Drosophila melanogaster: one gene and its partners. The protein of the gene in region 3 interacts with the protein of the main gene of each other region in a pairwise test. Each region holds a gene or a part of one and is shown on either strand. Other genes may lie near its edges. The genes, in order: CG31792, IPIP and CG17292.

Region 1 (7,617 bases), about 11 Mb from region 3:
CAATGGCAATAATAATTTGAAGTAAGTCATTTGAAAAAACTCATCCAAAATGTGGTAACCTACGGAGGGCTGAGGTGCTGTCCAGCTGGCTGGCAATGAAAGCTGCTATCACAATCATACACAGGCTGTATTCTCTCATGGCTCTCGGTTTTCTATTCTTTCTGGCTTCTCAACTGAAATGTCGGACCGGCTGGATCGACCACCGTTTTTTAACTGGCTCCCTCACTGTTTGGCCATATTTTTTTTACCCCCATTCGCATAATCAATTTCACCTGAACTCACTAACACCTGCCAAGCTCTTCTCCGCATGCAGTGGTTATCTGCTCTACACACATATATATGTTTGTATACATATATATATATATATATATATATATGTACAATCGGAGGAAGTCAGTTCTCTTTTAGCTGATAACTTCAATACCCAGGTGTAAATGTGCAAGTGTGTGTGTGTACAACGCTGTTCACATGCGATGATAGTTACCACAAGCCTGCATTTACTTTGGAGCTTTTGCAAAAGCTGAAAAATTAACCCATGCTGCCAACGTTCTTACCGTATTTCCTTAAACGAATATACATCAACAGTAACTTCCTGTTTCCGATCTAGCCGGCGGATAATTGAACACAATTATAACGATAATTAAATACTTTAATTAAAATTTGGTTTGCCTTGGCTGTACGGCAGTTATATGATATATTTTCTTTTGATTTTCATCAAATTAAAATATGGTCAAAAACTGTTGTATATCTCATACATATATTAATACTTACCATTATTTTTCGATTATCCCTATAACAGCAATATGATATAGTGGTCCAACCTATATGTATACTAACTGAAATTGAACGAAGACAAACATGACTGTATCGACTCTACTGTTGAATATACGAATCTGAATGAAATCAATGTACCATTTGCAAGGGTATAAAAATAAAAGGCGCCACCAAAAACTGCATGAATAATCTCAATTTCCAGATTTTACAGGTTCGACAAACTTTCCATTTGATTATGGATTGACTATAGTTCCATTGATAAAAAAAATAATGTAATTTGAACTAACAAGAAAGAACTCAATTCCTATCAGATACCCAGATTTAATTGAATAAATACACATTTGTAGGGTCAAAAACACTTTCTTGTTTCATAGTTTTTAACCCTTATATTCTACGAGGAAAGTGTACAATTATATATGTAAAGCTGTATTGCCCAATTTTCTGGCTAATAACATATAAACAATGTGCCTTAACTACAAGTCATATATCTTAACGATACTTGAGGATTGAAGTGAGACTTTTGTTTATATGTGAACGTTCGTTCTCAAGTTTATAATTTCGGTTACTCGTTCTTGAACTTATGTGTTTGCTTTTAAGTTTTTTTTTTTTTTATCGTTCGTTCCTAATTTAATATCGAAACTTAATTTTTCTCTCAGTGTCTTAATAAAAATTATTATTATTTATTGTATTTGGGCGACTTCTTAAATTCTGCACATGCCGGTGTTTTATGTTATTAAGGTTTAAGTTGAAGTCTAGACAAAATGATTCAATAAAACAAAGTACAAATAGTAAGTACATACTTTTATATCTTTTTATCTTTAGCATATCATTTAAGGTTTTTTTGAACCAGACTGGTATTCAACATAAAGCCATTATCTTCAAAAAATATAACCGAAATCTAATCTGGGTTATCTCCGGCGAATTTAGCACCGAGAGCTAATCATGTTGCTCACACTCAGTACCTTTAAGATCTTTTCTACGCGCGGACGTATTGCTGTTTAGTTGAATTTCTGGCATTGCAATTTAATAAATTAGTTCGTTGGAAAGCATGTTATACGTTGAAAAGTGCAAGTGACTTCAAGCCTAGAAGGTATAAATATTTTTGATCATTCGATCCGACTATGTCTGTCCATATAAGCGTCGAGATCTCGGAAACCTACGTCAACAAATTACAAAAAGCTTTAGATTCTTGGTAACGACTTCTTTGCAGAAGACCAAAAATGCTGGTCATTATATTATAGTAGAAGTTCAAGATTTTAAAGTGCCAGTGACGTTGAAGGCGTGTGGAATAAATTTTACCTGAGTAGCAGGTATCTGATAGTCGGGTAGCTCGACAATCGTATTCTGTCCCATTTTAGACAAGCTGTTTAATGGCTAATTACTTATTGATTAGAAAATCATTAATTCAAATTTATTTCTTGCTGTCTGGATTGTTTCACTTGCATAATATTTGTTATGTAGCGAAACATAACGTAGTAATCGTAATAAAATGCAGTCCTTTAAGAATGAAGATCTCCCGGAGAATCCTCGAGAACGATCGAATATTTTTTCTGCGTTATCCTTTTGGTAAGATAGTGCAAACGTGCGACGCCAACATATTTTTCAAGTGTGAACAATTTTTTCAAATAATTCAGGTATACCATTCCCACTTTTATTAAGGGGCAAAAGGTCACATTGGGTGCAAAGGACCTTTACAGGGCCTTGAAAGAGCATAGGGCCGGTAAGTGTTTTTGGTGTATATATAATAATATTTTCATATATACATCCTCATATCTCTATTTTGTGCAAAGAGTCGCTCGGCAACAAATTATGCTCTTCCTGGGCGAATGAACTGGAGACCAACAAGAAGAACGCCAGTTTGCTCAGAGTACTCTTTCGTGTTTTTGGTCGGTACTTCGTCTTCCTCGGATTGGTTCTCTTCTGCCTGGAGGTTATACTCACGGTGCAGCCCATGTTTCTCATGAAGCTTATATCCAGCTTTTCCAATCCTAGCCCAACATCCAATGGAGTGGCATATGCCTACGCGGGCGGAGTGATTTTAGGCTCTGCACTCAAAGTGATCCTTATGAACCCGTACTCATTCGCCGTGACTCACCTGGGTGTGTTCCTTACTTATTGATGTTGCTCAAAGCGTTTTGTAAATTAGTTTTCTAATCCGTAAACTGCAGGCCTTAAGATTCGAGTGGGTGTGAGCAGCATGATCTACCGGAAATGCCTTCGATTGACCAAAACAGACCTGGGCGAAATATCTACCGGACATATAATCAATTTAATTTCCAATGACCTTGGCAGAATGGACACCTTTATTCAGTTTACCCACTATCTTTGGTTGGCCCCACTGCAAGCGCTAATGGTAACCTATTTGATGTACCAAGAGGTGGGGTCCGAGAAATTCATATGGGATATGTAAAAACCTTAGTTTGTTTAATAGATTGGAATCGCTGCCGTGTTTGGCATGACCTTTATACTGCTCTTCATACCCCTTCAAATGTATTTGGGCAAAAAGATCTCTGGGCTGCGACTGAAGACAGCTATCCGGTCGGACAAACGGATGCGGATAATGACCGAGATCATCGCTGGCATTCAGGTGATTAAAATGTACGCTTGGGAGCTGCCGTTTGAGAAAATGGTGGCCCATGCCCGCCACAAGGAGATCAACTCCATCCGGCACGTGGCCTATGCGAAATGCCTCATTTGGTCCTTCAACAGATTCCTGACTCCAGTATCCATATTCCTGAGTTTGGTAGGATTTGTGCTAATGGGCAGGTTCCTTACAGCGGAAGTGGCCTTTCTCATCACAGCCTATTACAATGTTGTACGCACCAACATGACAGCATATTTTTCAGTGGGTGTGACGCAAACTGCAGAAACCCTCGTGTCCATTAAGCGGGTTCAGAAGCTTTTGCTATCCGGCGAGGTAGTGGCGAAGGATGAAAATGTAGTTTCCAACGGGGCTGAGGAAGATCTTCAGGAGGCCAGGGAAAAACTCTTAGTGACTCCCACACCAATGCGTGCTCCCGAGAAGCCTCCACACAATTCGGAAGATTGCGTATCCATAAGTGAACTAAAAGCCAAGTGGACCACGAACTCGCCCGATTACACGCTAAGTGGGGTAAATCTGCAGGTCCACGCTGGTGCATTGGTCGCCATTGTGGGTCACACCGGCTCCGGAAAATCCAGTCTGATACAAGCCATTTTGGGTGAACTGCGTGTCGAGTCGGGAGAGATCGAGGTTACTGGATCGATGTCATATGCCTCGCAAGAGCCGTGGCTTTTCTCCGGCACCGTGCGTCAGAATATTCTTTTTGGTCAGCCAATGGATCGTCGGCGATACGATTTAGTGGTGAGGAAATGCGCGTTGGAACGAGATTTTGAGCTACTTCCCTTGAAGGATAAAACCATATTGGGAGATCGCGGAGCATCGCTCTCGGGTGGCCAAAAGGCGAGAATCAGCTTGGCAAGATCTGTTTATCGGGATGCGTCCATCTATCTGCTGGATGATCCTCTGAGTGCCGTAGACTCCAGCGTGGCCCGTCGACTCTTCGAAGAGTGCTTGCGTGGCCATCTGCGAGATAAGATTGTCATCCTGGTCACCCATCAGTTGCAGTTCCTGCAGCAGGCCGACCAGATTGTGATCATGGAAATGGGCAAGGTAAAGGCTGTGGGAACGTATGAGTCGCTTCACAAATCGGGTTTAGACTTTGGCATCGTGCTGGATGATCCTGTCAATGACAATGAGGCGGCGGAGGACCGATCAAGAACCTCCAGTATCACGGACCAACGGCGCAGCAGTGTGAAATCTGTACTCTCCCATGCGGAATCCTGTCCAGAGGATGTAGGGGAGGAACAAAAGATTAACCTACAGCGGCAGCAACTGGGTCGCAACGGCTTAGGAGTGTACGTCGATTATTTTAGGGCAGGAGGCGGATTCCTCTCCTTTTCTGTGGTAATGACCTTTTTCGTGTGCTCCCAGGGCCTAGCCTCTCTTGGAGATTACTTTCTGTCCCCATGGTAAGGTGTCGTTTACTTTGTCACTTTCGAAATCATTTAAAATTCGTAATCCCTATGCTTTTAGGGTCTCAAGAAATGAGAAAATGGTAGCTCATAACTACACAACAGATGCTAAGGATGCGGACTTCGAAATGCACGCTGCGTACATATATATGTTGATTACAGTGCTATCCATTATGGTGACCATAAAACGATCCTTTCTGTTCTTCAACTTGGCAATGAGGGCCTCTATCCAGTTGCATAACTCAATGTTTCGAGGGATCTCCAGAGCTTCCATGTACTTTTTCAACAAGAACCCTGCGGGAAGTATCCTTAATCGGTTCTCTAAGGACATGGGTCAAGTGGATGAGATGCTGCCCACCATAATAATGACCGTCATCCAAGACTTTCTCCTGTTTGGCGGCAATATTATTGTCATAGCCATTGTCAATCCCCTCTTTCTCATACCAGCACTGGCTTTTGGAATAGTTATATACTACCTGCGTTCCTTTTATCTCAAAACTTCGCTGGATGTAAAACGCTTGGAGGCCAGTAGTAAGTGCCTAATGACCAACTAATTACCACTTGGCTAAAACTTTCTTAACTTTTGACAGCTCGATCTCCGGTTTACTCACATTTCGCTGCTTCTCTTAATGGCCTTTCCACCATTCGTGCATTTGGGGCCGGAAGCATTCTGGAGGCGGAATTCGATGGCTACCAAGATATGCACAGTTCCGCCTCCTACATGTTCATTAGCACCTCGCGAGCCTTCGCCTATTGGATGGATATATTCTGTGTGCTCTTTATAGCGATGATCACGCTGTCCTTCTTCATCTTTCCACCATCTAGTGCAGCCGATGTTGGCCTGGCTATAACACAGGTATACGACCGGAAGCACATTCACATATGTCTGATTTTTAATATAATTTCCATTTATTCAAGGCCATGGGCTTGACGGGCACGGTTCAGTGGACTGTCCGCCAGTCGGCAGAGTTGGAAAACACAATGATTTCCGTGGAGCGGATGATTGAATACGAGGAAATAGAGCCAGAGGGACCACTGGAAGCCACGGCTGACAAAAAACCACATGAATCTTGGCCAGAGCAAGGAAAAATAGAATTTGTAGAGCTGAGTCTGCGTTACGAGCCGTATCTGAAATCGGAAAGCGTTCTAAAGTCCCTCAGTTTTGTAATAAAGCCCAAGGAAAAGGTTGGCATCGTGGGACGAACCGGAGCCGGCAAATCCTCGCTGATTAACGCTCTATTCCGCCTGTCCTACAACGATGGATCTGTGCGCATAGACGATAAGGATACCAATGATATGGGTCTACATGACCTGCGCAGCAAGATCTCAATCATACCCCAGGAACCAGTTCTGTTCTCCGGCACAGTGCGACACAACTTGGATCCCTTCGACGAGTATAGCGATGACAGGCTGTGGTGCGCGCTGGAGGAGGTGGAACTCAAGGATGTGGTGGCCAGTGTGGCCACTGGCCTGGAGACCAAAATCACAGAGGGTGGCTCCAACTTTAGCGTGGGCCAGCGCCAATTGGTGTGCCTGGCACGAGCTATTCTGCGCGACAACAGAATACTTGTGATGGACGAGGCGACGGCCAATGTGGATCCCCAGACGGACGCTCTGATCCAAGCCACAATTCGAAACAAGTTCAGGGAGTGCACCGTCCTTACCGTGGCCCATAGATTGCACACCATCATGGACTCGGACCGTGTACTGGTGATGGATGCTGGAAGAGTTGTGGAATTCGGGACGCCCTATGAGCTTTTAACTGCCGATGATACTAATGCCTTCCAAGACCTGGTCAAGCAGACGGGTCAGGCAACATACGACACTCTCCTGAAGATTTCTCAACGGGTAAGAGTAGGCATCTGTAAACGAATTCATACATATATTTATAAAATTTCCTTTTTTAGGAATTCGAAAAATCTGAAAAACCGAGCCTTATGCTTCCCTCTTGACGAGCCGAAATCGCTAATGAATAATTAATATCTCCCCAATATTACTCCATTGAAGCTTTCACACTTTCAGTTCGGAAATTGATTTTTTGCACATTAAATATATATAAAAACCCTATTGTTTTGATCATAGCTGCAATATTGGAATACGTTATAGAAATTATATTTATTAGATGTGTACATGAGTACGTGTTATCACAGCTGACAGGCGCGATAAGGACAAGAGTAGTACTTGTAGACTTAATGAGGTTTTCCTCATTTAGTGATATGATGAATAAGATATCTATGGAATTTCCATTTGTGGTGGGGCAAGCTTAGAAAGCCAATCATTTAAATTGAAAATAATTTATTGCACTAAACTTCAAGAGAATAGGTAAAAATGTATTGCTGATACACCTGGAAGGTGCAACCGTTGTCAATATAATATTAATAAAATTTCTAGATAGTAGAATGTGATATCTAAATTGAAGTCGATACATAAAAAGATAAATAAACAAAGTAATTACACTTTATTACATGACTAATGACATATCGGTCCGAACTCCACCCTAATGTTTCAAAAAGGTGCCTAAAATTAAATTTTTTTTAATTTAGCAAACATGAATTACATTAGTATAAATAATATGTAATACTATATTTTTATTTAAAATATAATACATTTTCAACACAATAAATACAATAGCATAGGACAGTGTAAAAAGGGCTACGATAGGATGGGAAATAAATTAGAAAGCCGTTATCTTATCTTTGAGTGGTCCACTCTAATGCTCTGAAGGCTGAAGTGACCATGTAAGTAAACATACATACCTGTGTGTGTGTATCTAAATCGGCGCGCTTTTGCACACACACACGCACGGCCCTTGCGTCAGCCGGTCGAACA
Region 2 (5,054 bases), 2.3 Mb from region 3:
ACTTTACAAACACAGAGACATTTCACGGCTTCAACGAATCAAATAAGTTTGCTGACTTCTTGCAGTCTTTTAACCATTTCGGGTTGTGTTCTTTTACTCAAATATATTTATCTAGCGGGTGAACTTACAGTTCTGTGTGCGGCTTAATTACTTTTCACAGCTAAATTACAAACAACAACGCTAGGTTACAGAGCTGGAACATGTATCGATGGCTGCTCGCGATTATCGATGTTTCCACAAAGCAACCAACGTCGATGTTTTTGTTTTCTTAGCAGTTATCGATTATTTTCGCCGTTCACACTGGGTTTTGTGTCTATCGAATTTTTAAAAAATATTATGTTCTAAATAACAATTAATATGTGGTCTATTCATTTGGACAAAAAAAGTTTTGTTCTTTCATATGTAGAACTTTGTCATCCAAAAATTAGGTTTCTTTAAGTTATCCATTTGAGTAATCCCAACATTATGTTTAACTTTAAAACCAACTTAGTCCTTCAATTCTAACAAATAACCTAAAAAACCCAATTATTAGTATGCCCACATAACTGAGTGCGCCATGATCGCCGAAATTTGTTATATCTAAAGTTTTGTTTATTGAAACAAACATGTATGGAAATTAAGCATAGTTCATTTGAAACGTATTTGATTTAGCACAAAACGGGTAATACATTGGCTTTTTGTCGGAGCAGCCCACTCCTACATCACAACTGGATGAGCGGCTGACCCTGGCGCTCGCGGTAAGCGGACACATCCGGCATCAGTTCCCTGCGAAAGCGCTCGTGGTTGCGTGCGAACTCCTCCAGTGCTTTGACCTGGCGACGCTGGCGCTCAGCACCGTTGACGGTGCTGTGATTATTGTTGGCCGCTCCCGGATCCCGGACATCGGGATAGAAGACGCTGTTCGCGATGGCAGGAGCGGGCGTGGGACGGCGCTGGGCCCTGGGCGTTCCGCTGGGGCTTCCGTTTCCGTTTGCGTCTGCAAGTAGAAAGTGCCTGTAGCCTGGCTTTGGGAATATGCAACAGATTTTGCAGAGAATGTCGCTTAGTGGCATTCCGCTGACTAAATTAGATCGGCTCTGGGTAAATGGCAACGATAAGCTGGCAATCGAAGTTCGGATTATACTGAGAGCACTCTGCTCTTATCTCTAGCTTCTACTAACGGTAGACTCACATTGTATTGGGACAAACAAACAGCTGGCTTTGGGGCCGAAAAATGCCGTATGATTGTATTTAGGCAAAGTTGTAGTTCTGCGGTTATCTATTGGCCAAGTTTCCCACTTAAAATTAGCTTTTAAAACTCAAAGCCCCGAACATGGTGATTCATTTCGTCTTTCAATTTGGTCACTTCCGTTCAGTTAATTTTTGCATTACTATACCCACAGCATTGTACATCCATTTTAAGAGTACGTGTTCATACCTTGCTTGCTCATTAGCTTCTCCTGCTGCAGGCGCGCGTTGCTCGATCCGAAGTATCCGTTGATAAATGGCAGGGGCGACATGACTACTCCGCCCCTCAGCGAACTGTCTGGTGGAGGAGGAGCGGGTCTGTTGAATGGATTTGTCCGCCTGGGCGGCGGTCTAGGCTTCGCACTCTCCGATGCATTTTGTGGTCCGTCCAAGGCGCTGCCGAGCATCTCTGTAGGTTAAAGAACGCAGCGGATTAGTGCACAGGGATTGTAGGATTAGCCATTGTGCAGTCTCACTGTTTCTTGCGTCCTCCATCTCTTGCAACTGGCGTTTTAGCTCGGCCAGGATGATGCGCTTATACTCGTAGCCGGCGCATGTTAGCGCCTTCATCCACGTCTCCATGCTGTCTTGGTTTTCGGCGGCGAGGATGTAGGTGCGATTGCCGTTGAAGGCGATCTCGAAGCAGTAGTTGTCCACCTCGTTAGACAGCTCAATGGTGCAGCCCTCGACAATGATGAGGCCCAAGGGCTCCTTGTCCAAGCGCGACTCGAAGTAGAAGAGCAGGTTGCCTTTCAGCACGAAGTAGCGTCGCTGGAAGGCCTTGTTGACCTCGCCCCGTTTGTTGAGGAAGCCTGCAAGGCGTATCGGTGTGTGATAAATGGATTATGATTATTAATAGACGAGCGAAAGGGCTCGCTTGCATACCTTCCATGTCGAAGGGCGGCGTTCTCGCGAACACGTACAGGTTCTTCTCGTTGATCTTCATGGCTGCACTGTCTCGGGCTGCATTCGAAGCAAATATGGGTGTCCTATTTCCGCCTTTCGTCTCTTATTATTGTGATGAACAGGTAAAAAAAATGCAAAGCGAGAAACAATTGACGCTGCGCGAACAGCTGATGGCCAGTGCTGCCACACCTCCACCGGTTATCGATTGCTGGGTGCGGAATTTCTAGTTTTCAATGTAGATTGCAAACATAAACGAATTTTGAATCCTGCGAAATGTCGTACTTACTCACGGAAATCGCGCTGGAGATGCTGGGCTACAAGTTCTACGACACCAATGGCACATTCCACCTGACCAATTTTCAAAACAACTCCACGCTCAGCGAAACGCATCCCGATGAGCCCTCCCTGCAGGAATTCATTGAGTACACAAATGAGGAGCTGAAGCAAGACGCGCAACAGCAGGAGCCGCACACGCTGGCGGTGCAGGAGGAGTCGTACCTGGATGCCCCCACCATACCCGAGTCACGCTATGCGCGGCGCACGCCGGCCAAGGCGCTGGCCAAGATAATGGACTACGAGAGCGAGAAGATAGTCAACCAGATCAGCACTCGTCTGGAGGGCTCGGTGTCACGTCGGGCGGCGGCGGACAGTGACGAGCAGCTGGCCGAGATCATCAACGAGGAGAGGAAACTAATCGAGGCGGATGCCGAGGTAATACACAACTTTCGGGAGCTCGTGGAGAGCCGACTACAGCGATTGGATAAACGGCCCTACGAGAAATACGTACGTACCTTCGGGCCGCAATAGGAAGCTGCACGTGCAATGTCAAAGTGCCGCCATTACTTTTAGAATTAATTTAGTTTATAAATTTAATAAATAAGTTACCGCTACAGGGTGCCTGCGGCACTTTCATTTTCTCTTACTGCGCCAGTGTGACCACCCTAGCCCATGCACTGGCCAGCGATAGCCCCATCTATCGGAGCCACTGTCATCTCTAGCAGCACAGCACGAGTAAAGGTCAGCTCTCGTAACTTGTCTCGGAAATATTCAATAATTCCGAGATTGCCGTCAAAATTCGAGTCGTGTACTTCAGCTAACGCTCCCCCTGTTTAATTCCGTTCCGTCTGCCCCCGCAGGCTCAGCTCAGCCCGCATCTCGGCTGCCAATTAAGGATATAAAGCCCTCCCCGGACGGTGACGACAACGGCGCTTGCATAATGAAAATCTGGACATCGGAGCACATATTCAACCACCCGTGGGAGACGGTCACGCAGGCGGCGTGGCGCAAGTACCCCAATCCGATGACGCCCTCCATCATTGGCACGGACGTGGTCGAGCGCCGTGTGGTGGACGGCGTCCTGCACACGCATCGCCTGGTGCAGTCCAAGTGGTACTTCCCCAAGTGGACGCACGCGCTGATCGGCACGGCCAAAACTTGTTTCGCCAGCGAACGCTCCACGGTGGACCCGGAGCGCAAACAGATGGTGCTGAAGACAAACAACCTCACCTTCTGCCGCAACATCAGCGTGGACGAGGTGCTCTACTATGAGCCGCATCCGTCGGATGCCAGCAAGACGCTGCTCAAGCAGGAGGCCACCGTGACCGTCTTTGGTGTGCCGCTGTCCCACTACATGGAGGACCTGCTCACCTCGACCATTAGCACAAATGCCGGCAAGGGACGCCAGGGCCTGGAGTGGGTGATCGGGCTGATCAACACGGAGGTCAAGGGCATCGCTCGCGGCACCGACGAACTTCTGCACAACACACGGCGCTCCATCGACGAGGTGACGGAGAGCGCGCGGAAGAGCATGGACGAGATCAGTGCGCAGGCCGCCAAGGCGGCGAAGGCGATGCACATTACGTAGGTGTCGACAAGGCGACAGTGCAAGGTCGCGCGGGGGCTGTTCACTAGTGAATTATTTAGATGGCGCGCGGTCGTCGTTTTAGTACAACTAATTAATCGATGGCACGATGGACATGGACAGCAACATGTGGGACAGCAACACCTTCCTCTATTCTCAAGCCATTCAATGCATATATTTTATAATTATTACTCCCCTTCGAACGAATCGACTGCTAATGAGTCATGTCGATAAAGAAGTGCCCCCGAATGGCTGAACTGGAAGGAACTCGCGCTAATGCTGGCCCCCATTCATGCAGATCAATATATATATAAACCTAAAGTACATAGTCAATGTAAGCTTTGTAAGCCGCCGCAGATTTCGAAGAACGAGAGGAGCAATTAAACGACATATTTGCCTACGACCAGCCAGTGTCAAGTTCAATTGTTTAATTTTAATTCGCAGCACACTTGTACTGCGTCTTTTTTTTTTGCATTTGCATGACGTTCGCATGTGCAACTGCAGCAATTTTAAGCATTCTGTGTATAAATAAAACCCAAGAAAGTCGATTTGTGGGTTTTTTCTCTACATACATACTTGATTAGCGATTTTTGGCGTCTGTTTTATTCGCTTATCATCAAAAGCCCACGTGCCTAGTGGCTCAACAACTGTGTACCTAGTTAGCATCGCAGACATGGAAACTGATATGTCCCTTATCTGGTTCAACAGTTGCGAAGAATGTGATTGAAGGGGAAAGTGGGTGCTTGGAAACAAGTTGATGATCAAACAGCAGGTGTTCTAGGGACAAGGTGAAATACTTTTACCTAACTTATCAAAAGAAGTAACTTATTTATTTAGCAGTTTTCGTAAGCTTTTAATCAAAATAAACAAGTAATCCTTACGAATTACAATTAAACTATTTGGTTCATTGAACCCGTGTAGCATTAACCCTTGCAAGTTACGCAATGGGTACAATTTACGAAAGCTTTTAAAGCTCAATTCGCCTAAGGGTTAATTTGAATTCCAGCGGCAGTCGCTGTGCAGCACTGGCCAACCGAACGCTGTGGTGGATTGAGCCGCG
Region 3 (6,004 bases):
GGTCTGCGGCACAGATATCACCACCAAGTTGCTGCTGCCCACAGTTCTCCTGCTTGCCGCTGATCCCGTTGCCAATGTTCGTTTCAACGTGGCAAAGACCCTGCAGAAGATCTCGCCCTTCCTGGAGGCCAGCGTCATTGATGCCCAAGTAAAGCCCACACTCGACAAACTGAACACAGACACAGATGTGGATGTCAAGCATTTTGCTGCACAGGCCATTGCCGGCATAGCTGCAGGTAAGCAATAAACAGTCTAATATAAACAAGGTTAGCGTTTGACAGGGATAGAAAGGGTCTAACTTATAGAACAATATATAACATTATTCATTATCACAAGTTTTAAGGCATGCAGGGAATCTGAGAGTTACACAAATTCATAAATTGTCAGTTAGTAGTAAGACTTTAATTTTAATTAAAATCCTGCCATAGAAATGGAACTGAATGTGTTTAGAACGGCAATACCGCCGTGCATGGGCGCCAAAATTGAGGCGGCAATGGACTCAAAGCTGATAGTGGAACCGCCCCGACAGCCGGAGGCAGCTGACAATGACATTTTGCAGGAGATGAATGGCAAGGCAGCGGAGCCGCCCACGCTTGACTCGGAATGTTAGAGGATGAGTAGCCAACCACATGACGTGTGATGTGCCTCCCGCTGTCTCCAGCCAGTTCCACAAGCCAATGTGTTTAATCCTCCCCGTCATAATCGTATTCACATTTGATTGTTTGTTTGTTCAAGATAACCAGGCTAGATGTCCGATCTGATTAAAGTGCGAGTGCAGTGGATCAAATATTTAACCGATACTAATGTTGTGCCATATTTTTTTGTCTCTTTCCCGGTATCATCGCCATCACCACGTGGTTATCTCACCATTCCCCACTCTGTGTTCGTCTGCAATAATGTGTTTTGTATATTTGTTTATAGCGTAATCAACCTTCTTGCATCTTTTTTTATTCTATTTTTAAAACTGTATGTATTTAACGCCGGCAACAAAACATATTATGTAGCAACAACACTTAAGAACGGAAAATTGTAGTGGATCCCGGAAGGTGTTAAACGCTGCAGCCGATGCTGGATGAGGGATGAATGGAGCCAGGAGTCAGAGGAAGGAGAGAATCGGAGAATCAGCATGGGAGGAGACCCACTAAACGCGACACACAACTAAACATTACTACTTACATACTTATATTATATATAAATTACCATAGGCATAACGATCATTATTAAAAACATTTGTAGAGTTTGGAACATTTGATCGCATCTGAATGCAAAAATAAAATTGTAGTGAAACAATATCACACGATCTATTGAAAAGTTTAATGTGGAGCAAAATTGAATATTTAACTCCCAAAATTGTATACCAATTTCTAGGTTTCAGTTGTCAGTTCAAAGTTTGGAAATGTAATATTTTCCTTTTTATAGTTTCGTTCAAATTAAGCTTTATATACATTCTGATTATTTGGCAGGTGCATTGATTATTTATAATTTGTGAGAGGTATGGCTATGAAAAGCATAGATTATACAAACAAAATACTTGTATTTTTACATTTTAAAAATACTGTTAATTTATTTTGAAATCCTAAAATCATTCCAGCAGTAAACGATTTTGATAGCAAGCTAGACTGATATCGATAGGCGCCAAACAGACACCTGGCGATAGTTGGGGCTTCTTTTTGGTTTTTTAATTGGATGATGGTGGTGGTGGTGGTGGTGGTGGCGAGCAGTTTCTAGCGAGAGATCAGTTGGACTTTTGCGACGAAGCGATACGCTTGTTTGTTTTGCCGTTCCGCTGCGCGTTGGCCAATGTTTGCCTAACTCTCGAATCGAATTCCGAAACCGAGTGTGGACGCGTAAGTGCCATTGAATTATTCCGTCTGACGCTCGAGCGCCATCGAATCGGATGCGGCGTGGAATGTGGTGGAGTCAATGGGGGGATCAGATGCAAATTTGATTGGGCAAATGGGTGGAACCAATCAATTGTGTGTATACAATAAAACGAGGTGTTTGTGTGTGCCCAACCAAACACAGCCAAATGCGGAACATTATCAGTTTACCCACGGCTGTCGCAATCTCCGCGTCCGTTTACCGTCCACTGACCTACGATCCACCTGCCCCCGTGGACGCAACAAGTGTCCGAATATTTATAGTCTATGGGCTCTATGCATTAATTACTCGCATATGTCAAAAACGCTGAGCTGTTATTACAATTAGTGCTTCATTATTTAGCCCGATTTCCCCAAGTGGCGCGTTTCGCTAAGCGTTATTATTTTTACCTTCCGCTAAACACTTGGCGCCGATTCGATTCCCTCCTTACCCTCGAAACCAGTGATACTCCATCGTGCGACTGAGCATTATCTGACGGCTAATTTTCCCCCGATAAGCCGGAATATAAATTGAAGTGCTCTTTATTTATGTCCGCGATACAACGGCGAAATCGAGGCAAAAAAAGAAGGCCGGTACTTAAATTACCATTGCGTTGGGCAGGCAACGAGGGTCAGGGGTCTTCCATTTCGACATATATCTATGTACACATTTATAAGCATTTCTACAGTCCAACTTCCCTCAGTTAGATATGTTATGATTAGGAGGTTGACAAGAATAATAGTTGCAATATTAATTTATTAGTTTATACAAGAAAGTTTTGAGATTTCATAATCTCATTGAAGTATTTATATATTTTATTTTAAAAAGTATTTGTATTTGCTTGTGTTCTGCATTGTACTTTGTACTTTAACAATGTATGCTTAAACTGAAACACCACTTTCTAATTTAATTCAGTCCGAAAACAAATATATTCCAAGCTAAACTTTAACTTTTGTTCCCACTTAGGGACGTTGGACTGTAGCTTACAAGTGTGTTTGAATGGCATTGCTGTAATTTCAAGTCTGCATATTTAAGCACTGTAGTTTGTTCACTTAGACCTCGGGTTAAGGTAATCTCTGGCAATAGACAGTGGGCCCTGTAGCTGGTTGAACTGTCAAACATTTCACTTTTTTTATGATAGCCATATTACTAAGGTCAAAGTTACAGGGTCCGCCCATAAAAAGACTATTACTTTTTAAAAGTTAATTTTAGTGATAATAAAATGCACTTAAATAGCTAGTAAAACTGTACTTAAATAAACATGCTGTATTAGTCTATATATAATTAAACCCATCATATTAATGGATCAATAATAGTTACGGCGATCTTTAAGTTTGTAACTTTCAACGGGAAAACTTTGTAATTATTCAGCTCACTCCTGTTGAGGAAACTCATTATGTTGCAATTTTAATTGATCGTGGTGATTTGGAAATAAGTAGACTGGCTGGCGACAAAGCTTTTATTTTTATGGCATTCATTCAATCACCATTGAATTAGTCCTCAAGTGCATAATGGGATTAGCGTTCGATTAAACTTGTTCAGCCGATAGAAGTGGATGAATAATAATGCGGAGATTTGGAATGTTCCGAAATCGGATGTTCCACCGTAGGAGCACATGAATGATGCATGGACAGGCAAAGGCTTGGACTCCCACACGGACTTTGCCGCCGTTGGGGCGGCACACTCGTGTGAATCACGATGCTTACGATGTCGCAAGGCTTTTTTTGGCCGAACTCACCATTACTATCTTATCCGAAAAAGATTGAAATTTAATTAGAGTTATCAATTTCAATGGGGGTTTAGGCCACGCCACATTAATCCGGCCAACCGAGTGCCCGGCCCAGTCTTTGCCAATCACCGCATGGGACCAGAGGATATCCGGACAATCCACTGGCCACGTAATCAATCACTTTATGGACTAATAGCCGACAGCCCACAGAAACATGCACAAGGCCATTAAAAACAAATCCAGTAAGTAAGTGTGCGAAAATGGAAAATTCCGCTAATACAATTTGGATAATTATTAAACCAGGGCTCCTCTGCGGACTCAAGAACTCCAAGGCGGATCTAACGACAGCCAAGTTTATACTATATTATGGGTAAGAACTAATATTATTATTAGTAAATATGAAGAAAAATTATACATAAAGCCATGTTATTGCACTAATATCCAAATTTCTTAAATATATTCAAGTATTCACCTATAGCATTATCTTTTATTCACAGACCCACGGTGGCAGATAGCGATATCTATGACCTAACCGATTTCCAGAGTCTTCTGGAGGACGAGCACTTGGATTTGGGCAAGAACACCGTGCTCTATTTGCACGGCTACTTGGAAGATCCGGATGTGGAGAGCATTCACGTCATAGCCGAGGCCTATCTGGAGCGAAAGGATACCAATCTTATCGTCCTAGACTGGGGTGAACTGGCCGATGGCAATTACATGTTCGATGCCTTCCCGAACCTCAAACAGCTGGGCCCAGAGTTGGCCAAGGTCCTGCTCAAAATGTTCGACCATGGCCTGGACATTGAGAAGTTCCACATTGTCGGACACTCGATGGGCGGCCAGCTGGCCGGACTCCTCGGCCGAGAGATTACTAAACGCACCAAGGGTGTCAGAAAGATAAAAAGGTAAAATGAAAGAGGTTTGATTTCAAATTATTTATTCATGCTCGGTTCGATTTTAGTCTATGCCGACGTCATGATATACGATGTTTAATATACGATATTTAGTTAATAATTTTAATGTCCAAAGCTTAACACTTTTGTATTACCATATGGTAATACAAAAAGTTTTTTTTTAGAATCGTTGTTCGGCAAAGTTTATAAAGTTTATATTGAATCCTTTTCTTGTCTCACTTATCTCCAATCTTCTTTTATAGAATTTCCGCTTTGGATCCCGCATTTCCGCTCTTCTATCCGGGCACGCACCTGTCTGCCAATGATGCGGAGTTCGTCGACGTGATACACACGGACGCCTGGCTGTACGGAGCTCCGACGAGCACGGGCACGGCGGATTTCTGGCCAAATGGTGGATACAGCCTGCAGCCTGGCTGTCCCAAGCGAAACTACAAGATGCTCAGCGACAACGATCTGTCCAGTCATCGGAGGAGCTGGTGGTTCTGGGCCGAGAGCGTTTCGGATCGATATCCCATTGGATTCGATGCTGTGCCCGCCAAGAAATGGTCGGACTTCAAGCAGAACAAAATAGTAGAGAATTGCCCGCCCGTGGTGATGGGTCATCATTGTCCCACGACGTAAGTTTCTACTTGCCTTATATGCATAGCGCAGAATTTAGTTTCATCATTTGAAATTGTGATTTTCAGAATTCATGGCGACTTTTACTTACAAACCAACGGACATACACCTTTTGCTCGAGGCAAGGAGGGCACTGTCTACGTTGACCCCAAGGATCTGCTGGGAAATACCCACAGCATCACCTGTGACTGCCCGTCGGAGAAAACGAATTAATAAGACCATCTACAATTGCACTGTGTACATTATGAAATGTAGCTATATTAATATTGTTGTTTCTATGACGCCTTACACCACATTTTGATTTACGAGAAAAATATACTTAAATTTTGTTGTTGAAAAAAACTTTGCATTACTTTGGGGTATTTATACATTATTATTGCACTATTTGGGGTTTTAAATGAGTTTTATTAATTACTTTTTTTGAATGGATTTTTTGAACTTTCAAATAATTTAAATCTGGTTGCTGGTTCCGCTCTTGCAATTCATTCCGGAACCAGTTCGAAAGTTGCGATATCGATAACACAGCTATCGACCCGTCAACCTCTGCCACCGATAACATTGTTTGCAACAATTGAGCATATTGACAACAAAACGAAATTCGACAGGCTAAAATGAAGATAAAACTAATAGATTCGGTGGTGCGCAGTTTTAAGGTGGCCAAGATCTTCCGAGAGAACACGGACAAGATCAACGCCATCGATTTTGCGCCCAACGGCGAACATCTAATATCCTGCAGCGAGGATGACCAGATCGTGATCTACGACTGCGAAAAGGGGACGCAGTCGCGCACGGTGAACTCGAAGAAGTATGGAGTGGATTTAATCCACTTTACGCACGCCAACAACACGGCCATCCATAGCTCCACCAAGGTGGACGACACCAT

Evidence for each region.
Region 1: the proteins of CG17292 (region 3) and CG31792 interact in a two-hybrid assay, tested with the Drosophila melanogaster proteins (one large-scale study listed by BioGRID).
Region 2: the proteins of CG17292 (region 3) and IPIP interact in a two-hybrid assay, tested with the Drosophila melanogaster proteins (one large-scale study listed by BioGRID).

The regions. Positions count from the first base shown.
Region 1 is NT_033779.5:18,995,716-19,003,332, forward strand, and holds CG31792 (uncharacterized protein), read left to right. Parts: upstream 1-1,732; 5' UTR 1,733-1,864; intron 1,865-2,235; 5' UTR 2,236-2,263; coding exon 2,264-2,340; intron 2,341-2,408; coding exon 2,409-2,494; intron 2,495-2,564; coding exon 2,565-2,873; intron 2,874-2,942; coding exon 2,943-3,151; intron 3,152-3,205; coding exon 3,206-4,785; intron 4,786-4,849; coding exon 4,850-5,319; intron 5,320-5,378; coding exon 5,379-5,644; intron 5,645-5,706; coding exon 5,707-6,636; intron 6,637-6,695; coding exon 6,696-6,740; 3' UTR 6,741-6,998; downstream 6,999-7,617. Other genes in the region: CG10650 (uncharacterized protein), read right to left, coding at 64-139.
Region 2 is NT_033779.5:6,045,996-6,051,049, reverse strand, and holds IPIP (inositol phosphatase interacting protein), read right to left. Parts: upstream 3,049-5,054; 5' UTR 2,941-3,048; coding exon of another isoform or gene 2,407-2,940; exon of another isoform or gene 2,357-2,406; 5' UTR 2,174-2,356; coding exon 2,113-2,173; intron 2,040-2,112; coding exon 1,704-2,039; intron 1,637-1,703; coding exon 1,418-1,636; intron 977-1,417; coding exon 702-976; 3' UTR 612-701; downstream 1-611. Other genes in the region: CG34179 (uncharacterized protein), read left to right, coding at 2,407-2,916, 3,270-3,311; slmo (slowmo), read left to right, coding at 3,350-3,997.
Region 3 is NT_033779.5:8,368,795-8,374,798, forward strand, and holds CG17292 (uncharacterized protein), read left to right. Parts: upstream 1-1,659; 5' UTR 1,660-1,847; exon of another isoform or gene 1,848-2,453; intron 2,454-3,663; 5' UTR 3,664-3,803; coding exon 3,804-3,831; intron 3,832-3,892; coding exon 3,893-3,959; intron 3,960-4,086; coding exon 4,087-4,494; intron 4,495-4,745; coding exon 4,746-5,120; intron 5,121-5,189; coding exon 5,190-5,334; 3' UTR 5,335-5,456; downstream 5,457-6,004. Other genes in the region: Pp2A-29B (protein phosphatase 2A at 29B), read left to right, coding at 1-236, 429-605, 922-926; Wdr82 (WD repeat domain 82), read left to right, coding at 5,733-6,004.